4 linked regions of the Canis lupus familiaris genome follow. Each later gene encodes a partner of the first gene's protein in a complex. Links are inferred from orthologs where the notes say so. Each region holds a gene or a part of one and is shown in the gene's direction. Other genes may lie near its edges.

Region 1 (7,982 bases):
GGCCTGGCAACATGTTGATACCTTGGCCACATTGCTTACCATCAATCATTAGAGGGCTTAAATGCTAACTTGTTAGGGGAGCATAGAGGGGGGAATGAAGGTTCTGAAAAACTGGTTCATTTTTGAGTTCTAATACTCTTATTGTTGGGTACTTACTGTTGGTTTATATTAACCATTATTTCATTTGGTTTTAGGAAGAAGAACCAAAGCCCATAGAACTACCTGTCAAAGAGGAAGAACCTCCTGAGAAAACTGTTGATGTGTAACTATCCCTTTTTTATGATCTGAGTAAGGGCAGATAGTTCTGGGTTTTGGAGGGGTTTAGTCTTTCACTCTCTTTACTTCTTAAACCTTTCCATTGGCTTTTTCATTTTTTATTAGATCATACATTTTCAGAACATGGTCCCAGTGAAGCAAAGTGGTTTGTCTCTGGGTTATGTAATAGATAACTAGGACCAGGAAACTTCAATCTCAGACAGAGTTTAGTTCTAGCCTTTGTTGTAGGACCATAATGGATGATTCTTTTTCTGTATAAACATCTAGATTTTCCTGTGAATAAGGAATTTTGTAAGGGAGGATGGTTCTGAGCAGAGATAATGTCTTTTAGGTAACACTTTATTCTCTCTCCCTTTTTGATTTACAGTGGAAGAAGGGAAGACAAAGTACTAGAGTAGAAAGTGGACCTTATTTAAACTATCCCACAGGGCAGCCCGAGTGGCTCAGCAGTTTGGCACCGCCTTCGGCCCAGGGCCTGATCCTGGAGACCTGGGATCAAGTTCCGCGTCGGGCTCCCTGCATGGAGCCTGCTTCTCCCTCTGCCTCTCTCTCTCTCTCTCTGTGTCTCTCATGAATAAATAAAATCTTAAAAAAAAAAAAAAAAACTATCCCACAGGTTGATCATAAACCTCTTTTTTGAGGGCTGTCAAATCCAGTAATTAATAACCGTTGAATCCTTTTTAACATTTTTGTTCCTCATAGCTGTATTTATGCATTTAATTATAAAAAATGATATATGTGCTTGTGATAAGTCAAATACTATGTAGATAAGTATATAAACCGAAAATTATGTACCTCTTCTCTCTACTCCCATCTGACTTTCCAGAGGTTTTCAATATATTTCTTTAGAATGTTATATGGAGAGTTTGTGTATGTATGCATGTACAGATACATACATACATACACTAGGCATATTGTGGGTTTCTTGATTATTCTCATGTGTTTTTATAGTCATTATATAATAATTGTTTTTTTTTTTTAATTTTATTTATTTATTCATGAGAGACACAGAGAGAGGCAGAGACACAGGCAGAGGGAGAAGCAGGCTCCACTCAGGAAGCCCAACATGGGACTTGATCCCGGGTCCCCAGGAGCACACCCCGGGCTGCAGGCGGCACTAAACCGCTGCTCCACTGGGGCTACCTTATAATAATGTTTTTATTAAAATGTTATATACAAGGCAGGATTATTTTTTTTAAGATTTTATTTATTCATCAGAGACAGAGAGAGAGAGAGGCAGAGACACAGGCAGAGGGAGAAGCAGGCTCCACGAAGGGAGCCTGATGTGGGACTTGATCCGGGGACTCCAGGATCACACCCTGGGTGGAAGGCAGGTGCTCAACCGCTGAGCCATCCAGGGATCCCCACAAGGCAGGATTCTAAGTGCTTTGCATGTATTCCCATTTAGTCCTCACATCAACCGTATGAAATGGTGTAATTATCTTTCTAAGTGGTAGGTCTCTTTTTTTAGCTTGCTATTGTGGGAAATGGCAAGTATATATACAAGTTATGAGAACAGTATAATAGACCTGTATGTACTGCTCACCCAGATTTAGTAGTTATCAACATAGAACCTTATTCTTCTAGCAGCTAATAGTACTCCATTCTATTGATGAACAGTAATTTCAAACCAGTCTCCTGTTGATGGACATTTAGGTAATTCATAATAGCAAAAAATGCAGTGCTGCGTGTCTTTAAGCAGCTATATTTATACTTATGCAAGTGTGTCCATGCGATAAATTCCCTGCAGTGGATTTGCTGCATCACAGGGGATATACATTTAATGTTTCATTAGATTTTATCTAATAATACTGCTTTTGGTGGGAGGAAAGGGGCAGAAGGAAAGAGAGAATCTTAAGCAGGCTCCATGCCCAGCACAGAGCCTGATGTGGGGGTTGATTTCACAGCTCTGAGATGATGACCTGAGCTGAAATCCAAATCAAGATTTAGATGCTTAACTGACCAAGCTACCCAGGCACCCCTAATAATATTGCTTTTTAAAGCCATCTAGTTATCTTCCATCATAGGAGGTTTACGTTTAGATATAATGCCTTAAGGAAATGGCTTATAGAATACATTTAAAGTAGCAATGTTTTGGGGAACATCTGGAGGAAGAAGGAAGATAAGGTGAATACAATGATAATTGGTTTTTGTAGGTTAACAATGAAGTTTGAAAATTCGTAGAAGTTCATTATTCTTAGAATATGTGAGATGTGTAATTCTCTTATTCAGAGCATTTGATTTTATTAATGAATTTCTAAACAAGGAAATTGAAAGTGTGTATTAGCAGGGGTGATTTTGCTCTTTAGAGTGATGGTAGTGGTTAGACTGCAGTATGTTCAGAAAAGTTCTGGGTCCCTGTAGTTTGGAGAATGTCTTGTGACTGGTTAGGATAGAAATTTCTCCGTAAAGAGAATACGTTTCCCATGAGTTCCAGAATGTGATGTGTATTTAATTGCTTGAGCTTAATTGTACCTAAAGTATCTGAAACAAAGCAGAAAGAAGCACCCTATTTTGAGGTTCCCTTTCTGCCATGAGGTATACTGCAGTGATTGTGCTTCAAGATAGGAATGTGAAGAAAGTTATTAGCTGGGGGTTGGTGGAGAAGACTGTTCTCTTAATGGCATTGGACTTCAAGTAAAACTTTAAAATTCAGTGTCCCGTTCTGTCTGAACGAGAGAGGTTTTGGGACATGTGGATGACCAGGAAATGGTAAGAATTCAGGAATTTCTTTAAAGTAAGAATATTGAGGACTAACTTAGGTACTTTGAATGTTCATTAGGAGATTCTCCTTCCTCTTTGGCTTGAGGTTCTCCAGAAATATGTTACTATTTCTAGTTTGATACCCCCAACCCCCACTACCCCAAACCAGGGCAGTTAAGTACTGTAGGATGCAGTTATGGTCAGCAGGGGGCACCCATTACTTGTCTGTCAGTCCAAGAACCTCCAACAAAAGGATGGAGAGAGTAAGTTCCTGTTCAGAATTGCTTCCTCTGAAAATGCCATTAAACCATTACTACCTTTCAGGGCATCAAATGGGGAAAGTGTCCGGGATATTGGAACAAAGGCTGCCCATGTCTCTAAATGAGGGACCTTAATGAGACTGGTTATGACCCACAGTTTTATGGGAGTTGTTTGGTGGATGGTTAATGCCCTTCCATTTATCCTGGGTACTTCCGAACTTTGTCTCCCGCCCCAGTGGTCCCCCCTCTTTTGTTTTCTCTTAAACCTTTTGACTAGTAACTTAGCCATGTTTTCCTAATTCAAACTCCCCTTAGTCTTTTTTCTTCCCACTCCCTTTGGCATTTTTATTTGTCTCACTTTGACTGTTCCAGCTGGAGCTACAGTCCCCGTGGGAGAAATAAGGGATTTGTAAAAGAAGGAAACCAGAGCTTGTAGAGCACTCGTTAATTGTCGTTGTGATGAAAATTGAGAGCTGCCATTTAAATGAGGGTTAGAGGAATAGTCATTAGTCCAGAAGTAAATTTAAAGTTCCTGAAAGTAAAAGAAATGGTTTCTAATGTCCTTTGAGTGTTTCCTTTCAGCCCAATATATTTAACCAGACTTTTTTCCTAATTCCTTTTTTATACTTTTGTAAAGTAGCTTTGTCTGCTATTTGAACTCTTAAATAGATGGCAGTTCGATGAACTGAAGTTCTAATGAGCTTCATATTTTTTTTGAATTAAGGGGTGATGGAGAGAAATGAGACAGAGGACAAGATTCAGATGAATTCTTATATATTCTAAAGTTTTGGGTTAGAATATCAAGTTTCCTCATTTTAAAAAATTTCTTTCTTCTTTTCCAGGGCAACAGAGAAGAAAGTGGTAAAAATTACATCTGAGATACCACAGACTGAGGTAGGTGTTTTGCTCCCTAGTAGAAGAGCAGTCTCTATGTATCTTTCTTATTTTATTTTTTTAAGATTTTTAACTTATTTATTTATTCATGATAGACATGGGGGGGGGGGAGGGCAGAGACACAGGCAGAGGGAGAAGCAGGCTCCATGCAGGGAGCCTGATGCGGGACTCGATCCCGGGTCTCCAGGATCACGCCCTGGGCCAAAGGCAGGCGCTAAACCGCTGAGCCACCCAGGGATCCCTATCTTTCTGTTTCTTACCTTTTATTCTACCTTTATAATCACTGAAAAACTGACTCATAAATAGAAAATCAGTATTGACAGATTTTGGTATTGATATATTTTTCTACTGTCAGCACTTGAGAAAATATTTGGGCTGGCATAGTCACTTTTGAAGCCCTAGTCTTTTCATATTTAGTACCTAGGCCTTAGTGGTAACTCTAAGATGTTTACAAACTAGATTAGAGTTTGGTAGGATTATCCATTGGAAGAGATGAAAAGTAATTAGGAGGATGTCACTACTTGATAGCTGGTAAGACTAAAATTTCTCTGGATTTTGTGTCAAGATCTCTGAAACTGGGCTCCAGTTGAGATCTCTGGGTTTTTTGTACCTTTAAAGTAGAGATGACATAGGACAATGCTGCCTCATTTCTAACTGAAAGAGTACCACTACTGTTGGAACCAAGCTGTTCCTTTGATCCCTTTTCAAAGGTCAACCAAACACAGCTTTTGTCTTCTTGGCTTCGTGCAGAATGTGGGTTTTATTTTATTCCTTTCCTTTTGTTTTTGAGGCCATAAGTGTAATAATAGTCTTTTGTGTTTGTTTTCTGGAAAGGGCAGTTGAGTTAAACCCTGAATGGATAAAACCTGATATCCTCTAGGATTGTTGGTGCTCTCAGTTTAGACCTTATGAAATATACTCCTGATGTTCTAAAGATACACACTTCTAAACACCACAAAACCAGAAATTAATTTTTCTCTTCCCTTTTTTTTTTTTAATTTTTATTTATTTATGATAGTCACAGAGAGAGAGAGAGAGAGGCAGAGACACAGGCAGAGGGAGAAGCAGGCTCCATGCACCAGGAGCCCGATGTGGGATTCGATCCCGGGTCTCCAGGATCGCGCCCTAGGCCAAAGGCAGGCGCTAAACTGCTGCGCCACCCAGGGATCCCATCTCTTCCCTTCTTTTGTCTTTTTATCACCTAGAGAATGCAGAAGAGAGCTGAACGATTCAATGTACCTGTGAGCTTGGAGAGTAAGAAAGCTGCCCGGGCAGCAAGGTGAGTGTCCAGCCTTTTGGATCTGAGACAGTGATAGTATGATGGGAGAGGGGCATGATCCTAGGTTTTAAATATAATTGTTGATTTTAAGTAAAATAGAAACTTTGCTGATAAATACTCATTTGGCTCTGTTCAGAACTTCTTTGCTGATTTGGATGGGTCTCATCAAGCAGGATTTTTTAATAGGTAAAAGGCAGGAAAACACTGTTACTCTCAATTTTGATAAGGTTTCCTTTTCGCTTCTTCTCTGGTCTCTCTGTGAGAAAAAGTAAACTGAACCTCTTTCATGGGGTTGTTAGAATTAGCTAATGATTGCAAGGCTTGAGATCACAAGCAAGAAGTGCCATATGTACACTTGACATGGAGACAGACAACCAGGAGTGTGAATAGCTTCCTAAAATTTAGCATGTGTTTTTTTCCTACAGATTTGGGATATCTTCAGTTTCATCAAAAGGTAAGAAGAGACTCTTCTAAGAAAGTTCTCTTTATATTTTTACTTTCCTGTCAAAACATATTTCAATTCTTCAAATGAAGCTAAACTTGTTAGCTTGAGAAGACTTGAAGTGCTTATAACATTCACCTTTTTGCTTTAGGTAAAACCATACTTAAGCCTTGCTGGGCAATTTAGAGAAGGTGCTGAAGTATGAGAGAATAGGAGGAAATGTGAACATTTGTTTTTCTTTTTCTTGGACATCTTTAGAGAAGTTTTTAGTACCTTGTCTACTTATTCTGGTGTCTCAAATTGGTATGTAATTGTGTTCCTGTCTCGTGTTATACTGCCTACTGTAAGAGGTGAAACAGAAAAGAGAGTATCTTTTACCTCAACAGTCTTGTAATTCCTTCTAGGAATTTACAAAGAAATAATGTTGGATATGCTTAAAGACTTAGGTAGCCATAAGGATTATCACAGCATTATGTTTAGTGATCTGTAACTAGCAACAATGTAATATGTAATAGGGAATTTGTTAAGTGTTCACCATAGTGTAGTAGAAGACTATACAGTTGTTAAAATGATACTGAAGAATATTTGTCAGAAAAATACTAAGTGAAAACAGGTATAAAACTGTATTGTAGTGTGTATTTCCCTTTTAGTAATAGAAGTGCATGTATGGATAGAAAAAAAGGTTTGGGGAGTGCCTGACTAGCTTAGTTGGTGGAGCGTGGACTTTTGATCTCATGGTTGTATGTTTGAGCCCCATGCGTGGTGTGGAGTTTAAAAATTAAAATAAAATAAAAAAAGTTGAGGGGTGCCTGGCTGGCTCTGTCAGTAGAGTATGAGACTCTTGCGCTTGGGGTTCTGAGTTCAAACCCTGGCTTGGCCCTGGATCCTACTTTAAAAAAAAAAAAAAAAAGTTTGGAGGAATATGTATAAATTGTTAATACTTATTGTCTCTGGTTGGTGGAATTTTGAGTGACTTCTTTTTGCTTTTCTCTGTTTTTAAAATTTCTGCAATGAGTGTATGTATCTTATAAATCAGGAAGAAAGTTACTTTTAAAAAGAACATAGTCCAGTTTTAGAGACATAAATTTATTTTTATTTTATTTTTTTAAAGATTTTATTTATTTATTCATAAGAGACAGAGAGGAGAGAAGCAGAGACATAGGCAGACGGAGAAGCAGGCCTCATGCAGGAAGCCCGATGCAGGACTCGATCCTGGGACTCCAGAATTACACCCTGAGTCAAAGGCAGATGCTCAACCGCTGAGCCCCCTAGGCATCCCAGAGACATAAATTTTAAATGTAATCTCTTAATCTAATTTAGTCTTCCGAGTGATGTCAGTTTGAACTGTCAGTGTTAAAATGTCCTCAAGAAAAAGAAAATGTCCTCCAAAGATCTAGCATTTTGCTGTGTTCCTTTGTCCAGTTGTGATATATTTTTTTAACAGCTTTATTAAGATATAACTCATATTCCCTATAGTTCATCCATTTATTTATTTATTTTTTTTTATGTTTTTTAAAAAAATTTATTTATGTATTTTTTAACAGCTTTATTAAGATATAACTCATATTCCCTATAGTTCATCCATTTATTTATTTATTTTTTTTTATGTTTTTTAAAAAAATTTATTTATGATAGTCACAGAGAGAGAGAGAGAGAGGCAGAGACATAGGCAGAGGGAGAAGCAGGCTCCATGCACCAGGAGCCCGATGTGGGATTCGATCCCGGGTCTCCAGGATCGCGCCCTGGGCCAAAGGCAGGCGCCAAACTGCTGCGCCACCTAGGGATCCCAGTTCATCCATTTAAAGTATATAATTCAATGGTTTTTTAAAAGTGCATTCACAGGGTTCTGCAACCATCATCACAGTCTAATTTTAGGACATTCATCACCCCAAAAAGAAACTCTGTACCCATTAGCAGTTGTTTCCCATTCCTTCTGCCACCCAGTCCAAACAGCCACTCATTTTTTTCTATGCATAAAGATTTGCCTTCATAAAAATGGACTTATACAATTTGTAGTTTTTTTGTGTTTGGCTTCTTAGCATAATGTCAGGATTTGTCCATGTTGTAGGATACATTAGTACTTCATTTCTTTTTAATATTGTATAAAATTTCGGGCAGCCCAGTGGTT
Region 2 (7,982 bases), on another chromosome or scaffold:
CACAGTAGAGGCTGTACCTGTCTGTGGAGCTGTCAAGGAACTTGAGAGCCTAGATGGGGATAATGATGTCACTCAGGAGTAGCAGGAAAGGATGTGGGGGAGTTGTACTATTCAATTTGGGATGGGGTAGTTAAGATGATAAATAGCAAAATCAAAGACTGAGTGTCTCAAAGGTGACGCACAGCACCCTAGGCCAGTTGCATTTAAAAAGGAGGAAGTGAAGCTGTGGTCTGTGTATACAATGGAATATTACTCAGCCATTAGAAACGACAAATACCCACCATTTGCTTCAATGTGTATGGAACTGGAGGGTATTATGCTGAGTGAAATAAGTCAATCGGAGAAGGACAAACATTATATGGTCTCATTCATTTGGGAAATATGAAAAATAGTGAAAGGGAATACAGGGGAAAGGAGAGAAAATGAGTGGGAAATATCAGTGAGGGTGACAGAACACGAGACTTCTAACTCTGGGAAACGAACAAGGGGTGGTGGAAGGGGAGGTGGGCGGGGGGATGGGGTGACTAGGTGACGGGCACTGAGAGGGGCACTTGACGGGATGAGCACTGGGTGATATGCTATATGTTGGCAAATCGAACTCCAATAAAAAAAAAAAAAAACAAACAAAAAAAGGGGGGGGGGGCGGAGGAAGTGGCCAGTGAATGTTAAATAGATGGAAACATAGCCAAAGGGACTTGGGACCTTCAACTGCATTCCATTCCTAGGACTTTCGGGTGACTTGCAAGTTGGTCATCCGTTTAAAATAAGCAGCTTCTCACTGTTGCTTTAGCTCTGGAAGGCCAAAGCAGCACACGTTTGTGGATAAAGACTTCAGCGTTGCTTCAGGGCTCTAGGGATATAATGAGAATGACTGCCTTCACAGTGGAGGCCATTCTTAGAAAACATCCAGGGACATAGTTATTTTAAAACTTCCTCATAAGGGACCTTCAAGTCCTTTCTAATGCAGATTCTGTGATAATACAAGTATGATATTATTTTCTCTAAAATAGAAGGAGGGCAGCCCAGGTGGCCTGGTGGTTTAGCGCCACCTTCAGCCCCGGGGTGTGATCCCGGAGATCTGGGATCCGGATCGGGTCCTGCATTGGGCTCCCCGCATGGAGCCTGCTTCTGCCTCTGCCTGTGTCTCTGCCTCTCTAGAATAAATAAATAAAATCTTTTTTAAAAATTGTTTAAAATAGAAGGAAATAATCCACTTAATTCACAGATGGTTTTTCACTTGTAATTTCTTATTACCGAGCCGCAGGTCTGTTGCAGGCACTTTGTAGGGCTGCAAAAATGACCAGCATCCCTTGTTATCTATATATGGACCTCTCTCTAGCCATCATTTCTTTATATGTGAGAAAGTGGCAGCCATACTTTTACCTAAGTATATTTCTGCTTTGCTTTATCTTGACTTCAGGACCACTGATCTAACATTGCTATCTGCCAACATAAATATCTCATGGTTAAAATATCTGAAGCCTTTGCTCCCTTGTCCTAGGGCTTGTGCAGTAATGCCTCATATTGAATGAGCCCCTCAGTGATGAATATTTTATTAAAATCTTTCATTTCTATAATAGCATACCTGTACCTTTAGGAAGAATTTGAATTTAATGTGTTTTGTGTTGTGTGTGTGTGCTTGTTTTTCAACTAGTTGATGGATTTGCAACTGAGCGACAGTAACTTTCGCCGACACATCCTGTTGCAATATCTCATTTTATTCCAGTATCTCAAGGGACAGGTCAAATTCAAAAGGTAAGTTAATCTGGGTAGTAAATGATTTCTAAACAGTCCTTTTTAAAAGAAGACTCACTTACTGATCTATTTCTCTTACGTGTCAGACTCATTTAATGTATAAGGGTCACATCCCTGAAACCTTCCTTTTGCAGCAACACTGGATAATCAGGAGCTTTTGTTAAAGATACTAGATGTTAGGGTACTTGTTATAGAGAAAAGGTGTTGACTGTATCTGCTGTCAGTGTAAGCCTCTCCTGTTGAGCACTGGGGTTCCTGGGGTCTTCAGTTGTATGGATGGATCTCTGTTCTAGACTTCCACCATTCCCCTCTCACTTCACCCAGACCTTCTCCAAACCTGATTTGAAGACTAATAAGCCCATAATCTCTTTCAAGGTGTGGAGCTGTCTAGGACATTAGTATTCAAAAGTAAAGTAAATCTTTGAAGAACAGAGCAGTTCGAGTCTCTTTAGGGTTTCAGAAAACCTGATCAGTTCCTCTACTTCCTGGCTACCTCCATCTGCAACATAAGCCACTGCCTCTTGTCCTATCCATGACTGAAGTTCACCATTACTCACTGGCATTTTAAGTTTGCAAAACAGTGTTGGATTTATTAGTTGTGTGAAAAATGTGCCTTTACTACCTGCTGGCTTTGAATCCCACTTTCATGACTCACTAGGTGCAATTAAGCTCTTTCAGACTTGTGATTTTAAGATGACACATAGCAAGTACTCAAAAAAGTTATTTCTTGTCCTTCTATTGTTGAGTTTTAATATATAGCATGGTAGAAAGATCAAGGACTTTGGAGCCAAACCTAGGTTTGCATTTAAGCTTTATCTCTGATCTCTGTTTAATAAAGCACACATGCTCGTTCTGAGAATTAATAATGCATCTAAAGTGCTCAGATTCCTGGCACAGTAGTCTATCACTATTTATTGACTAACTATAAGATCACCAAGTATCACTATATATTGGTGCATAGTGAGAGCTGAATTAATGGCACCCATTAACATTTTGGGTCTGCCTTCAACCTTCACTAAGATTTAGGGGGTTTTATTCATTATGTTTTGATTGCCTTTTAAAGGAATGTAGCATGCTTTATCTGAATGTGCAGCATGGAGAGGAATAGGTTAATATTCTCAGAGGTTTTCATTCAACATTAAATTTCTTATTTTAGGAAACATTCATTGCTCTGTTCATAGTTAATCAACTTGATGGAGTGTCCTCCCTTATATACCTTCGTGTCTTCAATTCTAGCCATCTTAAATGAAGTGCAAGAATTTTCTCTTATAATCCTCTTGTGATTGTTCTTAGTAATTTTTTACACTATTTTCAGTATGGTTAACTTACCTGTTACATGCCTTGGGTTTTTATAAGATAGTATATAAGCCTTAAAATTGAGTATACATTACTGTAACTCAAGCATGCTTTTATTGCTTTGTTCCCTAGTTCAAACTATGTTTTAACTGATGAGCAATCACTCTGGATTGAAGATACTACAAAATCAGTTTATCAAGTAAGTTCAACATGCAACAAACCCATGATTGAACAAAATGGAAATTTAGAATTTTCTTTGTTTCAGCCCCAAATAGGAAAATAAGGATAAAGTTAAGCTCAGGTACAAGACCACAAACACTTCTTGGTCCTCTGCCTACAAACCACTCCTAAGATGCAGAAAGTTGTTGAAAGCTTAGTATATTCTTTCTAATCACAGCTACTATCTGAAAACCCCCCCGATGGAGAAAGATTTTCAAAGATGGTAGAGGTATGTGTTTTATATTTACATAGTCTTCTTAGCACCAAATAGAATTTCAAAGGCCTTCATTATATAAATGTAATTTCTTTGTTTTTCTCAGCATATATTAAACACTGAAGAAAACTGGAACTCATGGAAAAATGAAGGCTGCCCAAGTTTTGTGAAAGAAAGGTAAATATATACTCATCTCAAACACTATGAAAAGAAAGGCATTTCAAAATATAGTTTGACATTATTTTGCATTATGTACAGATAGTATGTATTTCATATAAACTGAACTCTATAAGAATATAGCCATTTTGATTTACTTCTAGTCGTCTTTCAGATTCCTTGTCATTAAGTTCCCAGAACAAATTAATCTATTATTCCTGAAAAAATGCCATTTGTCCCCTAGTTGTGGCATTTTTGTCTCCTATCTGATGAGTGTTCTATAATAAGAGGAAGCTTTTATGTTTTTATAGGAAAAAACAATAATTTTCTTTCACATTAAACACTTGTTATGTATGCTCTCCATTTGTAATTCCAGTGTGTTTTATTCACCACAGAACATCAGACACCAAGCCAACAAGAGTAGCTCGAAAGAGAACGGCACCAGAGGACTTTCTAGGGAAAGGACCCAACAAAAAGATTCTGATGGGAAAGTAGGTTAACCTGTCTCTTCCATATGTGGGATGGTATTGGTTTTTTTTATATATATATTTTGAAGATGTTACTGTAAGATCTCTCCAGTTTCTGTGTTTTTTCAAGTTTTTTTGTGTTTGGCACATACATAGATGACTAAAATGGATCACACACTCTCAATCTCGAGGGCCCATTACCTGGATTCATGCAGATACATAAACTTCCATTTTGTCTCTCGCTTCCCAAATCCTTGGCTCTAGTCTGTGCCATTTTTTCCATGTTACAGATAATACAATCACTGTTAGATTGATTGAGCTCACTTCAATTTCTGCAAGGTACCATGATCCTTCAGGTTCTATTACCTTCCAGTTAATTACTCATTGCTTTATACTTGCTTGAATATTTTTAGAAAGAACAAATGACTGTTATCATTTAATATAGCTATCTAGAAAATTTGCATAATACCAAAAATTAATGAATGAAAACTCATCTTGTCACCACCTAAAAATTCACTAATTAAGTATTTTTACAACTTTAAGGCATATGAGGATGATGTCCATTAAAAATGTATTTATTTATGTGTCTCTTTTGTAGTGAGGAGTTAACAAGGCTTTGGAATCTCTGTCCTGATAATATGGAAGCCTGCAAATCAGAAACAAGGCAAGTTTAAAATGTTTCACATGAGGTACTGCTTTTCTCAAATGTTTTAAGTGAGTGAAATTAATTTATTGTGATTGACTTTGGCATAGCAGAATATGGCTTCCCACAATGAAACACCTAGAAGTGCTGATAAAATAGTTTTAGAAATCACAAGGAAGTACAAATTTACAAAAGAAGAGGGAACTGAAAACGAAAGCATGAGCCAATATGGTTGCTTCTAGCTGGGAAGCTTGCAGAGGATTCTCACTTTGGGGAACCAGGGAACTTAGGTTTAAGAGCCACAAAAGGACAGAAGGGAAGACCTTCAGCCTGCACAGATTTGTAACTGAGTCTCCTTTGAGTAAAGCTGGGGCCCTTGAAGCACTGCACTAGATATAAAAAGAAGAGCAGATTGGGGAGGAGGGACTTGCTCAGTGGCATAGGAAATAACTTGCCCATTTCTACCTGAGGTGTGAGTAAAAAGGAAAAAGGACAGCTGGGGAAATTATAACTACAAGTCTGCTGTCACACAGTCCTGTAGTTTAAATTTATCCTACCAGCAGTGTAAAGGAACCCCCCTAACTAAAGAGGTGAATTCAGATGTCTCAGTCTGATGATACAAAGCTTTCTGAGGTCACATGTTCAATCTAAGCCACACAAGGATCCTACAGATAAAAGTCTGAAGATAGTCAACCTTCTGAACTTAATAATCCACCACAAGAAAGAATCAGCAGATAGGACAAACAAAACAGACAACAGAAGTTAGACAACAGCTTCTGATAATAAAACCCATCAAGTAAAGATAGCTTAAAATAAGTATATTTAAGATAGTTAAAGGCATAAAAGAAGGAATTGGAAATTTTAAAAAGGAATAGCATACTCTAAAAGGACCAAGGAAATTAAAAAAAAAAAAATTCTAGCAATGAGAAAATATAATCATTGAAATTATAAGACTTAATAGGCATGTTAAATAGCAGACTGGATATAGGTGCATATTAGAATTAATGAATAAGAAATCACCCAGAAAGCAGTCAGAGGGATCGAGAGTTAGAAAATATGAGTTGAGAGTAAAGAACCACAGAATGAGGGAATAGAGAGCAAGAAAGAGATAATGAACTCAGAACTGAGAATAGGCATAAATTCTTAGGTTCAAGAAAAACAAATTTTAAGTAGGATAAACAATAAATCTGTATCTCTACACATTGTTGTAGAGTCACCAAAGAGAAAAACCAGACTACTTGCAAAACAAAATCAGACAGCCAACTGTAAGAACAAAAGAAACCAGAAAATTGGAATGATAGCTCTTCACAGTGTTATGAGAAAGTGTCAAGTAACAAGTTGGTGGATGAATCAGGAGTTATTGTGAAATAAAGTTATTTTCAGATTAAAACCATGAAAATCTATTATCAGCAGTACTTACTGAAGCTGTCAAAGAAATTGAACCCAGAAACACAGTAAATTGCAAGAAACATTGCTATTCAAGACACTGATAAACATGAATAAATCTCATCAAGAATTTCCTATATAAAGTGGTATTAATTACTAATTGGAGATTATTTTAAAAGGTAAAAACTAAATATTTGATAAAAGTAACATAATACAGTGAATGATCAGAATTAAAGAATGTTAGAGATGAAGACAGAGATAACAACTTTAAATAAAGCATGCTTGGGGCAGCCCGGGTGGCTCAGAGGTTTAGCGCCACCTTCAGCCCAGGGCGTGATCCTGGAGACATGGGGTCAAGTCCCATGTCAGGCCCCCTGCATGGAGTCGGCTTCTCCCTCTGCCTGTGTCTCTGCCTCTCTATGTCTCTCATGAATAAATAAGTAAAATCTTTTTTAAAAAAAATAAATAATAAATCATGCTTGCTAAAGTATGTAAAAGAAATAGAATATATAGAAAATATATAACTTTCAAATGAGTGGAGGATAAAAGAATATAAGAAAATTCATGCAATCAAAAATAGGCAAGATAAACACACATAAGAAACAAGTAATAGAACATTGAGGCACCTGGGTGGCTCAGGTCATGATCCAGGAGACCAGGGATCGATCCCCTACTTCGGGCTCCCTACTCAGCAGGGAGTCCGATTGTACCTCTCCCTCTGCTCCTTCCTCCTGCTCATGTGTGCACACGTACCACGCCTCCTCAAATAAATAAAATCTTTTAAAAAAAGTAATGGAACACATAAAACAATATAGTTAAAAATAAATGGAAATGGACTTTCTAGTTCAAAGATGGAAGCTGGTATTGTCTTTTAAAAGTCCTTCTATATGTTATTTATTTATTTATTTATTTATTTATTTATATTTTTTATATATGTTATTTATAAGAAACACTTTCAAAATAAGGATATGGAAAGGTTGAAACTAATATATATATATTAAAACATATATATATGAAGAATAGTTATACTGATATCTGTCAGAAGAATCTTAAAGCCGAAAGCATTAAAAATAAAGATAATTATTGCATAAAGATACAAGAAAAAAAATGGAGCAGAAATATATATATATTCTAAACCTTGTTTCTAAAGGATATAGTCTCAAAAAACTGACAATTAGAATGAGAAATTAACCAATCCAACATTTTGACAGTTTTCACACTTCTGCAAAATGTTTTACTAGAATTTTGACACTAAATACTTTAAGAAAAAAAAAATACTTTAAGTATTTAATAAGTTCAGTCAAAAAAAGTTAGGGTTTAACAAGACGATTAACAGGCTTTAGGCTTACAGAAAACACAAATGCATTTAAATTAATACATGAATAACAATATATTTAAAGAACTTTCAGGTACTTATTTTAAATAACTTCAGAATCAAAGAAGAAATCATAATGTAAATTAGAAAACATAGAATTAATGACAAGGAATTAGGGGCTTAAGCTTTTGAGAAATAGAAAACTTATGACCTTAAATGTCTATAAATTTAACTCAAAGTTAACTGAAAATTAAGAATCCAGCACTGAACCCCAATGTTTATAGCAGACTAGCCAAATTATAGAAAGAGCCCAAATACTCATCAACTGATGAATAAAATATGGGGTGGGTGGGTGTGAATCTTTATCTATAATAGAATATTATTCAGCCATAAAAAATGAAATCGTGCCATTTGCAACAATATGGATGGAGCTAAGCATGTAATATGCTAAGCAAACTAAGTAGTCAGAGAAAGACAAATACCATATGATTTCATTCATATGTAGAATTTAAGAAACAAAATGAATGTGGT
Region 3 (7,982 bases), on another chromosome or scaffold:
CCAGAGCGAAAGAGTTCAGGTCTTTATCTCACATCCTCAGAACCACTCCAGTACCCTATGGACACATGTGCTCATGGATCAAGTATTCATGTCTTTTGTACAAGAAGAGAAATCTCTGCTTCGGACCTGAAAATAAGATAGTTGCCTGCTGGTCCTTGTTAGTGTTTTATTGAAACAAAGCTCTGGGCAGCCCAGGTGGCTCAGTGGTTTAGCACTGCCTTCAGCCCAGGGCGTGATCCTGGAGACCTGGGATCAAGTCCCATGTCGGGCCCCTTGCATGGAGCCTGCTTCTCTCTCTCTGCCTCTCTCTCTGTGTCTCTCATGAATAAATAAATAAAGTCTTTGGAGAAAGAAAGAGAGAGAGAAAGCTCTGTGGAGGGCAAATAGTCCCAGGCAGGCACCACAAGTCTAATTTAAAAATATTTATTGACCACCAGAAGTGTAAAGACCCATGTGAAAGGTTGGAGAGGAAACAGAATGAATAAGACATAAGGTCCTCATGAACCTTTTCCCCAAGGTTATTTGGCCTGTACAGTGTTCTAAACACTTTTCAAAAACTTTTATAATTGGGATATTGCATATATAAAAGTACATAGATATTTTTTTAAATACTTTATTTATTTACTCATGAGAGACAGCAGAGACACAGGCAGAGGGAGAAGCAGGCTCCATGCAGGGAGCTTGACGTGGGACTCGATCCCGGGACTCCAGGATCACACCCTGGGCCGAAGGCAGGCGCTAAACCGCTGAGCCACCCAGGGATTCCCAAAGTACACAGATCTTAAATATGCAGCTGGAATGATCGCAAAATGTGCTTGAAACATTTTTAGTTAGTCACCAAAACTTAAAAAGCTCTTGAAAAACCAGCAGTGGTAGTAGTTTCCCCCTTAGGGTATTTATTCTCCAATTTTGCTGTTCCCTATTATCCCTGGTCCTCAATAGAGTAGGATGCCCAGGTATCTGGGAGGAAGATGGGGTTTGTTCAGGGGTGGGGTATGGGAGAGCAAAGATAAGAAAACGAGAAATTGAACAAAAGAAAGGAATTGAACAGTGTCAAACATCAGACTGCTCACCTGCTGGAGATTTACTTTTAACAAAGTTAAAGCATATGTGTAATAAAAAAAATTCATTTTCTGCATTTTAATCTCTTTGAGAACTGTTTTGTCTCAGGCTCCTCAAATAACATTGTTGGTGGTCAAAAACTGAAAGTATTAGTTTGTATTTTAAAAGTGTAAAATTAAAATAAGTGATGAATCGATAACTTGAGCTGCCTGTCAAAGCCATGACTCTGAGAACAAAACCCAATTCTAAAAATGTTTATCTGATGTCACAGAACAGATTTTAAAACTGCAGCCACCTGCCTTCCAAAAGTTTATCTCCACTGCACCTGCACTCAAAAATACTTCTGCCTACGCACAGGAACTATTGTTTAAAGATTTTGCTGTTGATTCATCATGCAGGCTCTCCAGGAATTATTCACACTTTAAAATTCATTTAAAAAAAAATAATGCATGCACGTGGTGAAAAGCAAACACAATTTGGTGAAACGATACAGAAAATTAAATTTTTTCTCATCCTCTCTGTAGTCCCTCTCACCAGAAGAAACCACTATCACCAGTTTTTTGTGTTCCTTCCAAAGATATTCTGAGTACACACATACATGTGTGATGTGCACATGTGCATCCACATACATACACAAAGCCTCCTCCTTTTCTATACAAATGGCAGCAAACTGTGTGCTTCTCTGCACCTGTTTTGTTTTCATTTCACTTCATGTACCAAAGGAGATTTTTTGGCAGCAGTGTATACATCTACACTATTGGCTGCATAATATTACATTATATGAAGTTTTCATAACTTAACCAGTCTCTTATTGGTACATGTTTAGGTTTGCAGTCTTCCTACTACAAACAGCACTAAGAACATCCCTTTACATTTATCTTTGTGGTTGGGTACACATGTTATCTATGGGACGAATTCCTAGAATTGGAGCTCTGGGGTCAAAAAAAAGATATGTGCCTTTTAAATATTGTTTGTTATAGCCCATTTGCCCCACAAAGAGCATACCAGTTTACATCTCATCAGTGTAAGTGCTGTTTCTCTCAGTATCCTTGTGAATGCTTTTTATTGGGTATTTTGATCTTTGCCAAACTGATAGATGAAAATTATGTTTGGGGTACCTAGGTGGCTCAGTTGGTTAAGCCTCCAACTCTTGGTTTTGGTTCAAGTCATGTGAGCTAGCTGCTTAGTGGAGGAGTTGGCTTGGGGATTCTCTCCTGCCCCTTTCCCGGCATGCTCTAGCTCTCTCTCTCTCTCTCTCTAACGTAAATAAATAAATCTTTTTTAAAAATTATGTTTTCTTGGGTTTCAGTATGCCCTTTCTCTTGTCATGATCCAGCATTATTTTGTCCAGCAAGAACACTAGCTCAGGGCTGCCAGACAGGCAGATTGGAGCTCCACTTATTACTCATTGTTATTATATGCCCTTTGATTTCATTTTCTTTTTCTTTCCCTTGGAGCAAAGTGAGACAAACATGTTTAAAAAAAAAAAAAAAGTCTTCATGGGGAAAGAAACATCACAGATGTAATAACTAAATTACTCTTTTTTTCCTACAAATCCATTCCCATTTCTCTGACCCATCTCTCATTATTTTCACCCAATCTGCCACTACCTCTTTCACATGTTTTCTTTCTGTGCCTTTTACCACTACCTCACACTAGTCAGAGACAGGAACAGTTCAGCCTTCCTTCTGTGTGAACATGTTTTTCCAAAAGTTCTCCAAGAACCATAGTCTTACTTCCTTGATGTTACCTGAAAACTATTTCTACTCAGCACCCCAGCAGAAGATTTCCAGTTCTGTGAGCACAGGTGATAACCCTGATCCCTAGTACACTGCCTGGCACACAATAGACACTCAATAACTGTCTTTATAGTGACATAAAAACATATACATAAATTGTAATAAAACCTACATGACCTAAAATTTGCCATCTTAGCCATCTTAAGTGAACAGTGTAGTGGCATGAAGTATATTTGCATCTCAGTGGTTTTCTTTTAGATAAATGAATAAGTTGTGATATTGGTTATTTGTCCCTGAAAGTTAACAAGAGCCAGACCATCATTTTAATTCACATTGTTCTTCCCTCCAGACGAAGTCATACGGAAGCGTCTCTTAATTGATGGAGATGGTGCCGGAGATGATCGAAGAATCAATCTGCTAGTGAAAAGTTTCATTAAATGGTGCAACTCCGGGTCCCAGGAAGAGGGGTAATTCATCTCACTGTTGTTTCTATACCAATGTCCTGATGAGAGTTTAAACCAATAGACGGGCCTGTCAATATTTCAGATTTTCACTCACCTTCAATGTCCAGTGGAGGCAACTCTGGGTTCATCCAAGTATAGATTTTTCTAGCCTTTATTTCTCTTCAGAGGCCTGCTTTATCTTTATTAAAATGTGCAGAAAGTGTAGTGGTAAGAAACAAGCATTAAATTCTGGCTCATTAAGCTGGTCACTTTTAGCAGAGAAACATTTAGTTAAATAAAATATCTAAATGAAATTTTCTCTTTTCAGGTTTTTTTTTTTTTTTCTTAAGTAAGCTCTAGGCTCAATGTGGGGCTTGAACTCACAACTCTGAGATCAAGAGTTGCCTGCGCTACCAACTGAGCCAGCCAGGTGCCTCAATTTTCTCTTTTTTAAATAAGCTAATAAAAAGTTGCAAGATTTTATATATATTTAATAACTCTTTTTGCCTTAGAAAAATTTCCCTCACTTGAATTAGCTTTTCACATAAATCATTATAAAGAGTGAAAAAATTGTGAGAATAAGAAATTATCTTGATTAAAAGATTTTAAAAAGTGGGACACCGGGGTGGCTCAGTGGTTGAGCATCTGCCTTTGGCTCAGGTCGTGATCCTGGAGTCCTAGGATCGAGTCCCATGTTGGGTTCCCTGGGGGGAGTCTGCTTCTCCCTTTAAAAAGTTAAAAATAAATAAATTTTTAAAAAGTATTTTAAACTTATATTGGTAAGAACAGCAGGCCTATCTTTGCACTTGTAATTAAAGCAGTTTATAAATTCAAGTACACCACATTAGGAAAAATTAAACATAAATGAAAGATATTCTAAATTATTTTAAATAAAGCAAATGATTCAGAACTTGATAGGATTTAATTGGTAAATCTTTGCCTGTACTAGAATGGTTCAACTTTGGTATTTCACAAAAAATCTTCATTCTGTTTCTCTTTTTCATTAGATACAGCCAGTACCAACGTATGCTGAGCACACTGTCCCAATGTGAATTTTCAATGGGCAAAACTTTGCTGGTATATGATATGAATCTCAGAGAAATGGAAAATTATGAAAAAATTTACAAAGAAATAGGTAAAGAAATGTAAATTAATGTTTCCATGTAATTTTAATTTTTATGGTCTAAAGGAGACAATATCTGCTAACATTTTTCTTTGGTTAGTGGTAAAATAGTAACAATGACAATATTAATAGAACATTGTAAATGTTAGCTACAAAACTGTAGTCTGGTATGATTGCAGTACTTTGGGTTATAGCTGTTTTTTAAATACCAGCATCTATTTTATTAGCAATGGAATTTAACACATTTTAAAATTGAAAATGGATGAAGATTATACATGTTGTTACAACTATTTTTAAAAGAACCTTTTCGTATAGAATGTAGCATTGCTGGAGCACATGAAAAAATTGCTGAGTGCAAAAAGCAAATTCTTCAAGCAAAGCGAATACGAAAAAATCGCCAAGGTAAGGGTTTTGTGGGATTTAGTGTGCAAATACTTTATTATTGAGTACTATTTTCATGCAGTTTTTAATGTTGTGTGGTAAAATCTTCAAGAATCAACCTGCATTATTAAAAAGAATTAGAAGCTAAACTTATTCTTTAAAACTGTATTATTATTTAAAATGGATGAGGAAGGCTATGCTGAAAAACTGTTTTTTTTTTTTTTTCTGGATTGTACTAATTATCCAAATATTTCTTAAATATTCTTTTTTTTTTTTTTTTTTTAACTATCTTCAGACCCCTTTGCCTAAGTCATGGTATGGCTAATCAGCAAAGGCAATTCACATAAGTAAATTAGATGTTTGTTATTTGTTTGTTTCATGGAGTTACTTTCCAGAAAAAAGAAAAGAATTTAAGCTCAGTGAGTTTTTATTAAGTACAAAACAAATGAACAGTTGCAAGCTGCCTAAATATCTAATAAGAGAAAGGTTAAAATTTAGCTTTGTCCTGATCTCTTTTGTTTTTTAATTAGGGTAATGTCCTCCTTGCAGTCCATAAAAACTATTTCAAAATAATTTTAATGGCCAGGACATTGCTCCTCCTAGAATGTAAATGGAAAGAAAGGAAGATAAAAAATTAAAAAATATAATACAAAAAAATAATAATAATACATAATCACAATTGTGACCTATATATGAAAAACTAGAAGGAAATGGAAAATGTTAAAGATTATTTTGGAGCTGTGGGTTTTTATGGGTTAAAAAGACCATCTGGTCTTTTTTCCTGCACTGATCATGTATTATTTTGTAATCTAAAAAAAAAAAAAATTTTAATCACACTTTTATTGAATTAATATGCTGATTTCCAAAACAATAAATTTTACTTTTTAATGAGCCAATTAAGATCTTTGGTTCCTTATTTTAAAAAGTTTGGTTTTGGGGATCCCTGGGTGGCTCAGCGGTTTGGCGCGCCTGCCTTTGGCTCAGGGCCGATCCTGGAGTTCCCGGATCGAGTCCCGCGTCGGGCTCCCGGCATGGAGCCTGCTTCTCCCTCTGCCTGTGTCTCTGCCTCTCTCTCTCTCTGTGTCTCTCATGAATAAATAAATAAAATCTTTAAAAAAAATAAATAAATAAAATAAAAAGTTTGGTTTTGAACTTGTTCTAAAATACAAGTGGTCAAGTTTGGTGGCCAATTTACAGCAGGATTTACCAACTTATTTGGTAATTATTATCAATCTAAAATCATTTGAAAAGGTTTCACAGTGTTTTTCTCAATTAGTTGAGGCTTTTAAATGAATGCTGCCATTCATCAGGTCAAGGTTAACAGGAAATAACAGGGAAACTTGGAAGTCTCAATGGAAAAGAAAGGAATTTTATCATTTCTGAATTTTAAATCGTTTCTAAGTTGCTGAAGTCTTTACCTTTAGAATGAGAATGAGAAGTATAATTTGCTATTGCTAAGATCTGAAATGAATGGTAGGATATATTTACCCTGCAGATCTTTTCTTTGCTGGGCAAATAGTAAGATCCTCTTTAGAATCGGTGCACTTAATGATCAATAAATAGCCTAAATTCACTTATACTATGCTGGCCTCTTATATCCTGCCTAAGGATAAGTCAATGGAAAAATAGAGTGGGAGCAAAAGTCCTTGTTTGGAACAGTTTTGAAATCATGCACCATTTTAGTTAGAGTTGAACCAAGTGATATTGGCAGTACTCTTTCCATCCCTCAGTGTTTTTGGTTTTTTGGTTTTTTTTATAGTCATTCTGCATTTTATTTCCAAAACCAGTAATCATGATATAGTTTTCCATATTTTTTGACATTTAGCTTTTTTTTGTATATTTTTTATTGGTGTTGATTTGCCAACATATAGCATAATACCCAGTGCTCATCCCATCAAGTGCCCGTCACCAGTCACTCCATCCCCCCGCCCACCTCCCTTTCCACTACCCCTTGTTCCTTTCCCAGAGTTAGGAGTCTCTCGTGTTCCATGACCCTCACTGATATTTCCCACTCATTTTCTCTCCTTTCCCCTTTAATCCCTTTCACTATTTTTTATATTCCCCAAATGAATGAGACCATATAATGTTTGTCCTTCTCCGATTGACTTCACTCAGCATAACACCCTCCAGTTCCATCCATGTCAAAGCAAATGGTGGGTATTTGTCATTTCTATTGGCTGAGTAATATTCCATTGTATACACAGACCACAGCTTCTTTATCCATTCATCTTTCGATGGACACCGAGGCTCCTTCCACAGTTTCGCTATTGTAGACATTGCTGCTATAAACAATGGGGTGCAGGTGTCCATTTTTTTCATATCCATGTTCAAAGAAACCTTAATTTGTTAAATATTTTTATATCTTTCAGAATATGATGCTTTAGCAAAAGTGATCCAGCACCATCCAGACAGGCATGAGACATTAAGGTAAGTTTAGAGTTTACTTTGAAAGGAACTATCTTTATATATAAATATTTACATATTAGTCTATGTATTCCATTTTTACAGAAGTACATAATTTGTTTCAGAAGGAGGGGTTCAGATCTTCCAAATTACATATTCTATTACCGCTTGATTGAATTTTTTCCTTCCTCTGATCTTACTGTCTATATTCTAAATTAAATGCATATAATATATATCAAACAAAAATAGATAAATAGAATGTGGTATGGTTATATAATAGAATACTAAATGACTGTTTATTTTTTTTTAAGATTTTATTTATTTATTCATGAAAGACACAGAGAGAGAAGCAGAGACATAGGCAGAGGGAGAAGCAGGTTCCCCGTTAGGAGCCTGATGCAGGAGTTGATCCCAGGACTCTGGGATCATGACCTGAGCCAAAGGCAGACGCTCAACCACTGAACCACCCAGGTGTCCCTAAATGAGCAATTTAAAAGAGCAAACTAGATACACACTATTTTTTTTAGATACATACTTTTTAAACTCAGATCTCAAAAACATAATCAGTGAAAAGAAAAACAGAAGATGTAATGAATTTTAAGTTACTCCTAAGTCTCTGTAACACATGCAGAATAATAACCATTTATAAAAGGTACCCACCATTATATACTGATACCATATATTATTTAGAGAAACAAATATATGTATGGAAAAGGATTGGGGGACACTTGGGTGGCTCAGTGGTTGAGCATCTGCCTTCAGCTCAGGGCATGATCCCGAAGTCCTGGGATTAAGTCCCACATTGGGCTCTTCACCGGGAGCCTACTTCTC
Region 4 (8,647 bases), on another chromosome or scaffold:
TTTAAAAAAATGGCCCATGCCTCTCTGTTCCCTGAATTTTATCTCTCCTTTGAGATTCTCTGGCTTCAGTCACATAGCCCCCACACATATACTATTCTAACTTCAAAACAGTTGTATCAGATTCTGTCTCAGTGAAAAGCAGAAGGATACACTTATCTAACATTTGTGTTTACAGAATATAGAAAAAGAGCACAAGGGAAAGTGAAATAAAAAACACACATGATGTTCAAAAATACAAAGTTAATATAGAAACACAAAGAATTATGTTCATAACATGGAGATTTCAGGTACTGAGAATCAGAGTGTAGATTTTGGAGTCGTAACAGCTGAGTTCTAATCTTTGCTCTGTCCAATAGCAGCCATGTGATCTGGAGCAGAACATTTTGCCTCTTTGTTCTTTAGTTTCCTTACCTGGAACCTGGAGATAGAAATCCTCTGTGTATGGAGGAAAAAAGAAAAAGCAAGCATATGAAGTCAGTTCCTGAAAATAAAAGTTTAAGGAGAGAAAACTAAACACCAAACAGTCTCCTAACCTAAGATTTTAATGAGCTTCATTGGTATTTTCTGGAGTCTAAAAAGCTTTGAAGTCTACAAGGATTTGTGATTGTAGTGGGGTAGAGAAGGAAATTGGGGAAAGAGAAGGGCCTCACTTACTAAGGCTTTTCTCAGAGCTATGTGCTTTACATGTGTGTGTATTTATTTATTTATTTATTTATTTATTTATTTATTTATGATTTTATTTATTTATTCATGAGAGACACAGAGAGAGAGGCAGAGACATAGGCAGAGAGAGAACCAGGCTCCCTGCAGGAGCCCGATGTGGGACTTGATCCCGGACTGAGGAACCATGCCCTGAGTCAAAGGCTTCACCCAACCACTGAATCACCGAGGCATCCCCTCTATTCCCTTTTGTATTTTCTACATTTGTTACCAAGTGCCATATTACCTTTAAAAAATTTTTTTAAAGTTGTCTTCACACCCAGTGTGGAGCCCAACGAGGGGCTTGACCCTGAGATCAAGACCTGAGCTGAGATCAAGAGTTGGATACTTTTAACGGACTGAGCCACCCAGGGGCTGCCCCTAAAATTTGTTTTTAAACAAATTTCCACCCACCGGCTTAACACCAAAACCCTCCCCGAGGCCACAGTCCTTCTCCAGGGCCTTGGTTGGCTCTGGCAGCTCATTAGTTGTTTCTTCAGCAGGAAACTGCTGGACTTGTGCTTTATTTATTTATTTTTTTTAAATTTTTATTTATTTATGATAGTCACAGAGAGAGAGAGAGAGAGAGAGAGAGAGAGGCAGAGACACAGGCAGAGGGAGAAGCAGGCTCCATGCACCGGGAGCCTGACGTGGGATTCGATCCCGGGTCTCCAGGATCGCGCCCTGGGCCAAAGGCAGGCGCTAAACCACTGCGCCACCCAGGGATCCCTGGACTTGTGCTTTAAAGTAGGGATCAGAGGGTGGGAATAATCCAAGGAGGGGAGGTGACACAGGTGGACATTTACTTTTTACTCTGTATCTTTTATGTTTTTGTATATATAATCATGTGCATGTAGTGTTGTGGCATCATTGAGCATGATGGTCACGAAAGAATTTTTGAGATGTTTTATGGTATAACAGTAAGTTTATTTAAGTGGCATGGGGTTAGGGCTTAAGGGCAGAAGGATCTGCACTCCTGCTGTATGAAGTTAGTAGTTGATGGGCCGGCTGGGAAACCGGGGCTCCAAAAAGGCGGATCACCCCCCCCCCCAACCCTCTCCAAGACCGCGGACTTTCCCCGCCCTCTTCACTGCGGCCTCCACGTCACCATCAGGAAACTGAAACTTTCCACCCAGGAACTTCCCAATTGGGAAAACCTTGCCCGAGGGTGCTTGCAATAAAGTTCATTTCTCGGATCCACCGGCCTCGTAGCCTCTTTTCTTACCACCGCCAGCGGGAGCAACTTTACAGTAGTTACATGCTTAGTGCTCAAGGGCGTCAGGATGTGCAGGGAGTATTAGGTCATATGTCTTTTCTTCAAATTTCTACTCATAAAACTATTTTCAAAAGAGTTCTCTGGTGCTTATCATTCATCTTGATATTAAGTATTCGTGAGATATACAGGCAGTCATGAGACCCTTTAAGAATATAGCAATCAGGGATCCCTGGGTGGCGCAGCGGTTTAGCGCCTGCCTTTGGCCCAGGGTGCGATCCTGGAGACCTGGGATTGACTCCCACGTCGGGCTCCCGGTGTATGGAGCCTGCTATCATAAATAACTAAAAAAAAAGAATGTAGCAATCAGTATGTATTTCATCCTCATCAGAACTATGCAGGCTACAGACTAGCCTTTTGGACTAGAGGTGAACATTTTCCTGCTTCTATCCTCCATCAATAGTACTTTTAAAAATCGGAGAATTTGTTTATTTAAAGACATACCCAGGCCCCTTCCCAACCCCTTCCCTCCCTGCTCTGGACCCCTAAAAACCTCTAGTTTACCAGCTGGTCCTTCTCCAGCCAGAGTCGGAGGCCTTCTGCTCTTAAGGGAGGGGATTGAGGGGTGGAGAATCTACTGTTTTTTATTGATGGGGAATTGAGGTTTGGAGGGATAACGTTGGCTTTTTTATTTTATTTATTTATTTTTAAAGGATTTTATTCATTTATTCATGAGACACACACACACACAGAGAGAGAGGCAGAGACACAGGCAGAGGGAGAAGCAGGCTCCATGCAGGGAGCCCGACGCGGAACTCGATCCCGGGCCTCCAGGATCACGCCCTGGGCCAAAGGCAGGCGCCAAACCGCTGAGCCACCCATGGATCCCTGGCTTTCTTTTTCAATTAAACAGGGATACAAATATATCTACCAGGCAGTAGATAAGGGGGAAATAGGCCCTCAAAAGCTCAGAATCACTATGATGGAAACTTAAATCCTAATCATTACTATTTGAAAAGGGGTAGCGCGCTGCATGCCGGGATTTGTAGTCCCCTCCCGGATGGCCCGCACTGCGGCTGTGCAGGGGCGTTCTCCAGGCGCATGCGTGCAGCGGCGGCGGCAGGCCTGACTGCACCAAAGCGGCGGTAGAGACGCGGGCTACTGGGAGCTCGCCATGGCGGTCCCTGCGGCGGCCATGGGGCCCTCGGCGCTGGGCCAGAGTGGTCCTGGCTCAATGGCTCCCTGGTGCTCAGTGACCAGTGGCCCAACACGCTACGTGCTGGGAATGCAGGAGCTGTTCCGCGGCCACAGCAAGACGCGCGAATTCCCTGCACACAGCGCCAAGGTGCACTCGGTGGCTTGGAGCTGCGACGGGCGTCGCCTGGCCTCGGGGTCTTTCGACAAGACGGCCAGCGTTTTCCTACTGGAGAAGGACCGGTTGGTAAGCTGACCGGTCCAGGCCAGAGAGAGAGGGGCTGTGGTAGAGCGAGGTGTGGTGTTGAGGGCGAGAGTGGGAGTGGAAAGGGGGGTGGAGGCGAGGGGAGAGGAGGGGTGTGGGGCTAAGGGGGATATGTAGTGCTGGAGTGACCAGAGTGGTGCTTGGGGATCTGGGGGCTGTGGTGGAGAGGAAGATGGTGGTGGTAAAAGGGAGGTGAGGGTGCGAGGGAGTGTGGCAGTAAAGGAGCTGTGAAGATGAGCGGGGAGTAGGCTAGGACAGGATGAAGACTGGTGGTGGACGGGACTGGAGTGAGGTGAGGGTGTGTGAGAGTGATGGAAGGAGTTGTGTGGTGGTGAGGAGTGGCTAGGGTCTGTGGTGGTGGTGGGGTCCCCATGAGGGTGTAATGGGCCCCTTTGAAAATAATAGGGCTTCCTGTGGGAGTGAGCAAGAAAATCGGGAACGTCGGTGGTAGAGTAAGTGTGGAGAACCAGAAAGAAGGAGGAAGTCCAGGGAAGGCAAAAGTGTAAGGGCATTCATGTGGAATCCAAACCTCAGAACAATTCAGAATGATTGGAAAGGAAGAGAAGGGGATATTGGGAAGAATTTTGGGGAAGGGACTTGGAAGGACTGGTTTCTTTTAAATTGTCTTTGTTAGACATAAGGTGCCTTGGTTTAAATAAAGCTGAGAAGTTACATGTGGAGGCAGGTACTTAAGTGTAAGGTGACATGTGGATTCTGTTCTTTCAGGTCAAAGAAAACAATTATCGGGGACATGGGGATAGTGTGGACCAGCTTTGTTGGCATCCAAGTAATCCTGACCTCTTTGTCACCGCATCGGGAGACAAAACCATTCGCATCTGGGACGTGAGGACTACAAAATGCATTGCCACCGTGAACACTAAAGGTGACTCTTCAGAGAGAGGGCAATAGGAAGATGAGCTACTTTTAGTAATTTAATTCAACAAGCATTTCCTGAATATCTTCTCTGTGTTTCGCCCTGTGTTAGGTATGGGACATCCTGGGCTGAATATGACAATCTCCAGCTCCTAGGGCCTAAAACCCTAATATAGTTCATGTTACACTGGAGATGTCTACAAGATGGATATCTAGAATGGAAGTGCTTAGTCTGCCTGTGGAGACAAGCAAGATCTCACAAAATTTGAGCAAACTCTTAGAATAGCTAATAGGGATTTAGTGGTCCGGGGTCCAGTGGGTGAGTGAGGAGTGAGCGGCAGCTCTAGGAGGGAGCTGCATGTGCAGATGTATGGAGAATTTGGGAAACTCCTGCTAGGCTAGAATGGCTGATCTTGGAATGAATAGTTTTGGTGGTCTGGGAGAAAATGACCTGGGGGTTGTGCAGTACATTTGTAGAATCTATTCTCTACCAGGTATTATCCTATAAACCTTGAGGCCACTTATATTTTATCGACTAACGTCACAGATTATAAGGTGTACCGATGTTTTATGTGTTGTTAAGAAAGAAAAGTTTCTAGATAACCATGATCCACCAAAACTTTTGAGATGCATCTTGATGCATTTTAAGATACGTTGTAAAGAATTAAGTGTGAAAATATATGCATCATAGAATTGATAAAGTTGATGAAATTTTTAATCGATGTGTTCACTGTGGGCCATTGGGCTTTGTTGACAAGTCTTGTCTGTAGAGGTGGAATGTTACAGTGCTTTCTCCAAGTAGACAACTGGTGATGCATGAATGATTTAGGTGGTATGTAGATGAACATTAAAAGTCGGCTGTGTGTTTATTTTAATGCCTACCAGGAAAAAAGAACTAGCCCATAAAATTTATTACTAAATGGAAACTAAATTTATTTAACTAAAAATTTTTTAAGTTAATTTTAAGAAAAATCTTGAATAAAGAAATATAGCTGTTAACGTGGATAGAACAAAATTGTGAAAGTGGCATATAAATGACCAGAGTTTTGGGAATGCTGGTCTGAGAAGCAGAGGCTTTGGGGACACCTGGGTGGCTCAGTGGTTGGGCATTTGCCTTTGGCTTGGGTTGTGATCCCGGGGTCCTGGGAGGGAGCCTGCTTCTCCCTCTGCCTATGTCTCTGCCTCTCTCTCTGTGTCTCTCATGAATAAATAAGTAAATCTTAAATAAAAAAAGAATCAGAGGCATTGGAGTCAAATCTAGTTTAGATCTTGGCTCTTTTATTTCACTGCTTTGACAGTTTGGCTCATCTCTCATATCTTCCATATCTTCATATGTAGAATGGGGATAATAAAGTGTTCTTTAGAGAATTATAGTGAGGACCCACAGGGGGAAATTTGTAGATGAATATTCTGGACTTATAATTGGTGAGTAAGTGGTCATTCCTTCTATTTTATTTTTTTTAAGATCTTATTTATTCATTCATGAGAAACACAGAGAGAGAGAGAGAGAGGGAGGCAGAGACACAGGCAGAGGGAGAAGAGAAGCAGGCCCCATGCAGAGAGCCTGATGTGGGACTCCATCCGGGGTCTCCAGGATCACACCCTGGGCTGAAGGTGGCAATAAACCGCTGAGCCACCCGGCACCCGGGCTGCCCATTCCCTTCTATTGGTTCGGACCTTAGTGAATGGAATTTGGAGATAATAGCTCTGGTCTTTGTCAGATTAAAAAAAAATAAACTTCTGCAGGATTTTGGGCTAACAATATCTTCCTGATTATATCTGGGTTTCTAGGGGAGAATATAAATATCTGCTGGAGTCCTGATGGGCAGACCATAGCTGTAGGCAACAAGGATGATGTGGTGACCTTTATTGATGCCAAGACACACCGTTCTAAGGCGGAAGAGCAGTTCAAGTTTGAAGTAAATGAAATCTCCTGGAATAATGACAATAACATGTTCTTCCTGACAAATGGCAATGGTTGTATCAACATCCTCAGGTGAGGGGGTTGTAGTTTAGGGACTGTCATATCTTTGCCCTGGGTGCTGTGTTAGATACAGAGATGAATTAGATGTGCTGAAGGAGCTTAAAGGACACATGGTAATAAAGAATCCTAACCTCCGTTGAGCAACTTTGAGCCAGACACCTTATATTTACTGAGTCCTATTAACTAGGGATCCCTGGGTGGCGCAGCGGTTTGGCGCCTGCCTTTGGCCCAGGGCGCGATCCTGGAGACCCGGGATCGAATCCCACATCGGGCTCCCGGTGCATGGAGCCTGCTTCTCCCTCTGCCTGCGTCTCTGCCTCTCCCTCTCTCTCTCTCTCTCTCTGTGACTATCATAAATAAATAAAAATTATTTACTGAGTCCTTAGAGAAATTTTATGCGGTTGATAGTATGAGTCTTATTTGACAGATGAGGATCTGGGATCCAGAGAGGTTAAATCACTAGTCAACTAGTGAGCACTGGAAGTAGGTGCACCTTGAATTATGGCTAATTTGTACCCGTAAAGTCTCTCCTTAAATATCACTTTCTCTCCAGGGAAGCCATCTTCATCAGTTTCCTACCTTTCCAGGTTAGAAGCTTATTTTATGTACTTCCTGTTGGAAGCATTTCTCATTCTATATTATAATTACATGTTTATTTACCTATATCTTCCACTAGACTCTAAATTCCATGAATGTAGGGACCACATATTACTTTGAATCCCTAGTGCCTACTTTAATACCTGGTACACAGAGTTAGGATCTCAGTAAATATTCTGTAAATGAATGGAGTGTTGGAATTGAAATTCAGGTCTGTGGGCTCTATTCTTTCTGCTATTCTCTATGGGCCGTGCAAGGCAGTGTAAAATAGGTTCTTGAAGAGAGGCTGAGAGTTTGCTGTGGCATCCCAGGAAAGAAACTTAGATTGACTGTGGGAGTTGAGGATTGAAGGAGGCAGCTTCTGAGCTTGACCTTGAAAGCTGAGTAGAATTTAAAGAATCAGCACAAGGCAGTCATACAATGGACAAAACAGGTGTGAATAAGCGTATTCTATATGGAAAGTAGTTGGTAGGTCAAAATTGCTGGGAATGGATGATAAGGTATCTGAAGAGAGGGCCTGAAAATGGGAAGATAAAGTTGAAGTATAATCTGGGACCAGATTATAAAAGGCTGGAATTCTGTGCTTAGCAACTTGAATTTTATTCAAGTGGGGATTCTTTAGTTTTTTTTAAAAGCCTTTTTATTAGAAAATAAAACATATACAGAAAGCCACTTAAAACAACTTATGCCTTAATGAACTGTTATCTGTGTAACCCCATCCAGGTCAAGAAATAGTAATTTGCTGGCCATCCCAGAAATCTGTCTATGTATTTTTCCTAGTCATAATTCTCTTTCCTCAAAAGGAGACACTATCTTGATTTTTATAGTATTTCTTTATAGTTTTAGCTACCAAGTATGCATTTCTAGATACTCTGGTTTCGTCTGTTTAAAAAAAATTAGTGTCTTTTAAGTTTGTTAAACTACCAAGTTGCTCTTCATCCTTCTTTTGTTTATAATATAGCTGTTGGAAAACTAGGCTGTTAACCTGCAGAGATTCTCCTAGTTTCGATTTTACTAATTTTGTATGCTAATTTATTTGTTGGAATATAAGATACTTCTTCTTATCAACTATTTGTTTACTTAAGAATATAGTTTACTTAGAAAAGGCAGGATAAATGCTTCTTTCCCTTTGTCATCAGATAATGAATTAGTTCTCTATTGCCTCCAAAAATGATGAGCTAGGTTGTATTTTTAAGACTCATAAACTCATGTATTGAAGCATGGTAGATGTATTTCAATCTGTTGGAGTAATTATCCTTAATAGAAACTCAAATTATCCCATCTTTAGCTAATGGGAGCCTCTTCAGGTTGATTCCTGAGTCATTTTTTTTTTTTACATAATCCTAGTAGTCTTCAGGTTGTTGCTCTCTGGTCTGACAGGATATCTGAGTTCATCTTGTATGTTTTCTGCCTCAGACCTTTAATCAGAAATTCCTCTAAGAATCGCTAGGTTCTTTTTATAAGAAACTGATATTGGAGCTATGGAAGCATTTCTCATTCTCATGGTTTGGTCATTATTTCTAGACCTTTCTAGTGGACAGAGCAAAGAATTCTATGTGTATATTGTAAAAAAAATAAAATATGTGCATTGTGAATTTATATTGATGACTTCAATTAAAATTCAAGAAGAGTGAGGAAGACGGGGGTGGCTCAGGGGTTGAGCATCTGCCTCTGGCTCCAGTAGTGATCCCGGGGTCCTGGGATTGAGTCCTGGGTCAGGCTCCCTGCAGGGATTCTGCTTCTCCCTCTGCCTGTGTCTCTGCCTCTCTTTCTGTGTCTCTGATGAATAAATAAATGAAATCTTTAGAAAAAAGAAAAGAAA

The links.
Region 2: SARNP (region 1) and THOC1 share a complex: the UniProt entries of both Homo sapiens proteins name them as parts of the transcription/export (TREX) complex. The link is inferred for Canis lupus familiaris from reciprocal best matches to the Homo sapiens genes SARNP and THOC1.
Region 3: SARNP (region 1) and THOC7 share a complex: the UniProt entries of both Homo sapiens proteins name them as parts of the transcription/export (TREX) complex. The link is inferred for Canis lupus familiaris from reciprocal best matches to the Homo sapiens genes SARNP and THOC7.
Region 4: SARNP (region 1) and THOC3 share a complex: the UniProt entries of both Homo sapiens proteins name them as parts of the transcription/export (TREX) complex. The link is inferred for Canis lupus familiaris from reciprocal best matches to the Homo sapiens genes SARNP and THOC3.

The regions. Positions count from the first base shown.
Region 1 is NC_049231.1:532,331-540,312, reverse strand, and holds part of SARNP (SAP domain-containing ribonucleoprotein), read left to right. Parts: intron 1-194; coding exon 195-262; intron 263-4,081; coding exon 4,082-4,133; intron 4,134-5,338; coding exon 5,339-5,412; intron 5,413-5,837; coding exon 5,838-5,866; intron 5,867-7,982. UniProt on the Homo sapiens protein: Binds both single-stranded and double-stranded DNA with higher affinity for the single-stranded form. Specifically binds to scaffold/matrix attachment region DNA. Also binds single-stranded RNA. Enhances RNA unwinding activity of DDX39A.
Region 2 is NC_049228.1:67,145,949-67,153,930, reverse strand, and holds part of THOC1 (THO complex subunit 1), read left to right. Parts: intron 1-1,654; coding exon 1,655-1,755; intron 1,756-3,183; coding exon 3,184-3,250; intron 3,251-3,448; coding exon 3,449-3,499; intron 3,500-3,590; coding exon 3,591-3,661; intron 3,662-4,035; coding exon 4,036-4,131; intron 4,132-4,705; coding exon 4,706-4,771; intron 4,772-7,982. UniProt on the Homo sapiens protein: Component of the THO subcomplex of the TREX complex which is thought to couple mRNA transcription, processing and nuclear export, and which specifically associates with spliced mRNA and not with unspliced pre-mRNA.
Region 3 is NC_049241.1:27,568,423-27,576,404, forward strand, and holds part of THOC7 (THO complex subunit 7 homolog), read left to right. Parts: intron 1-3,150; 5' UTR 3,151-3,268; intron 3,269-4,251; 5' UTR 4,252-4,270; coding exon 4,271-4,379; intron 4,380-4,594; exon of another isoform or gene 4,595-4,642; coding exon of another isoform or gene 4,643-4,667; coding exon 4,668-4,769; intron 4,770-7,117; coding exon 7,118-7,175; intron 7,176-7,982. UniProt on the Homo sapiens protein: Component of the THO subcomplex of the TREX complex which is thought to couple mRNA transcription, processing and nuclear export, and which specifically associates with spliced mRNA and not with unspliced pre-mRNA.
Region 4 is NC_049225.1:38,017,426-38,026,072, forward strand, and holds the start of THOC3 (THO complex subunit 3), read left to right. Parts: upstream 1-3,014; 5' UTR 3,015-3,086; coding exon 3,087-3,353; intron 3,354-4,097; coding exon 4,098-4,254; intron 4,255-6,035; coding exon 6,036-6,240; intron 6,241-8,647. UniProt on the Homo sapiens protein: Component of the THO subcomplex of the TREX complex which is thought to couple mRNA transcription, processing and nuclear export, and which specifically associates with spliced mRNA and not with unspliced pre-mRNA.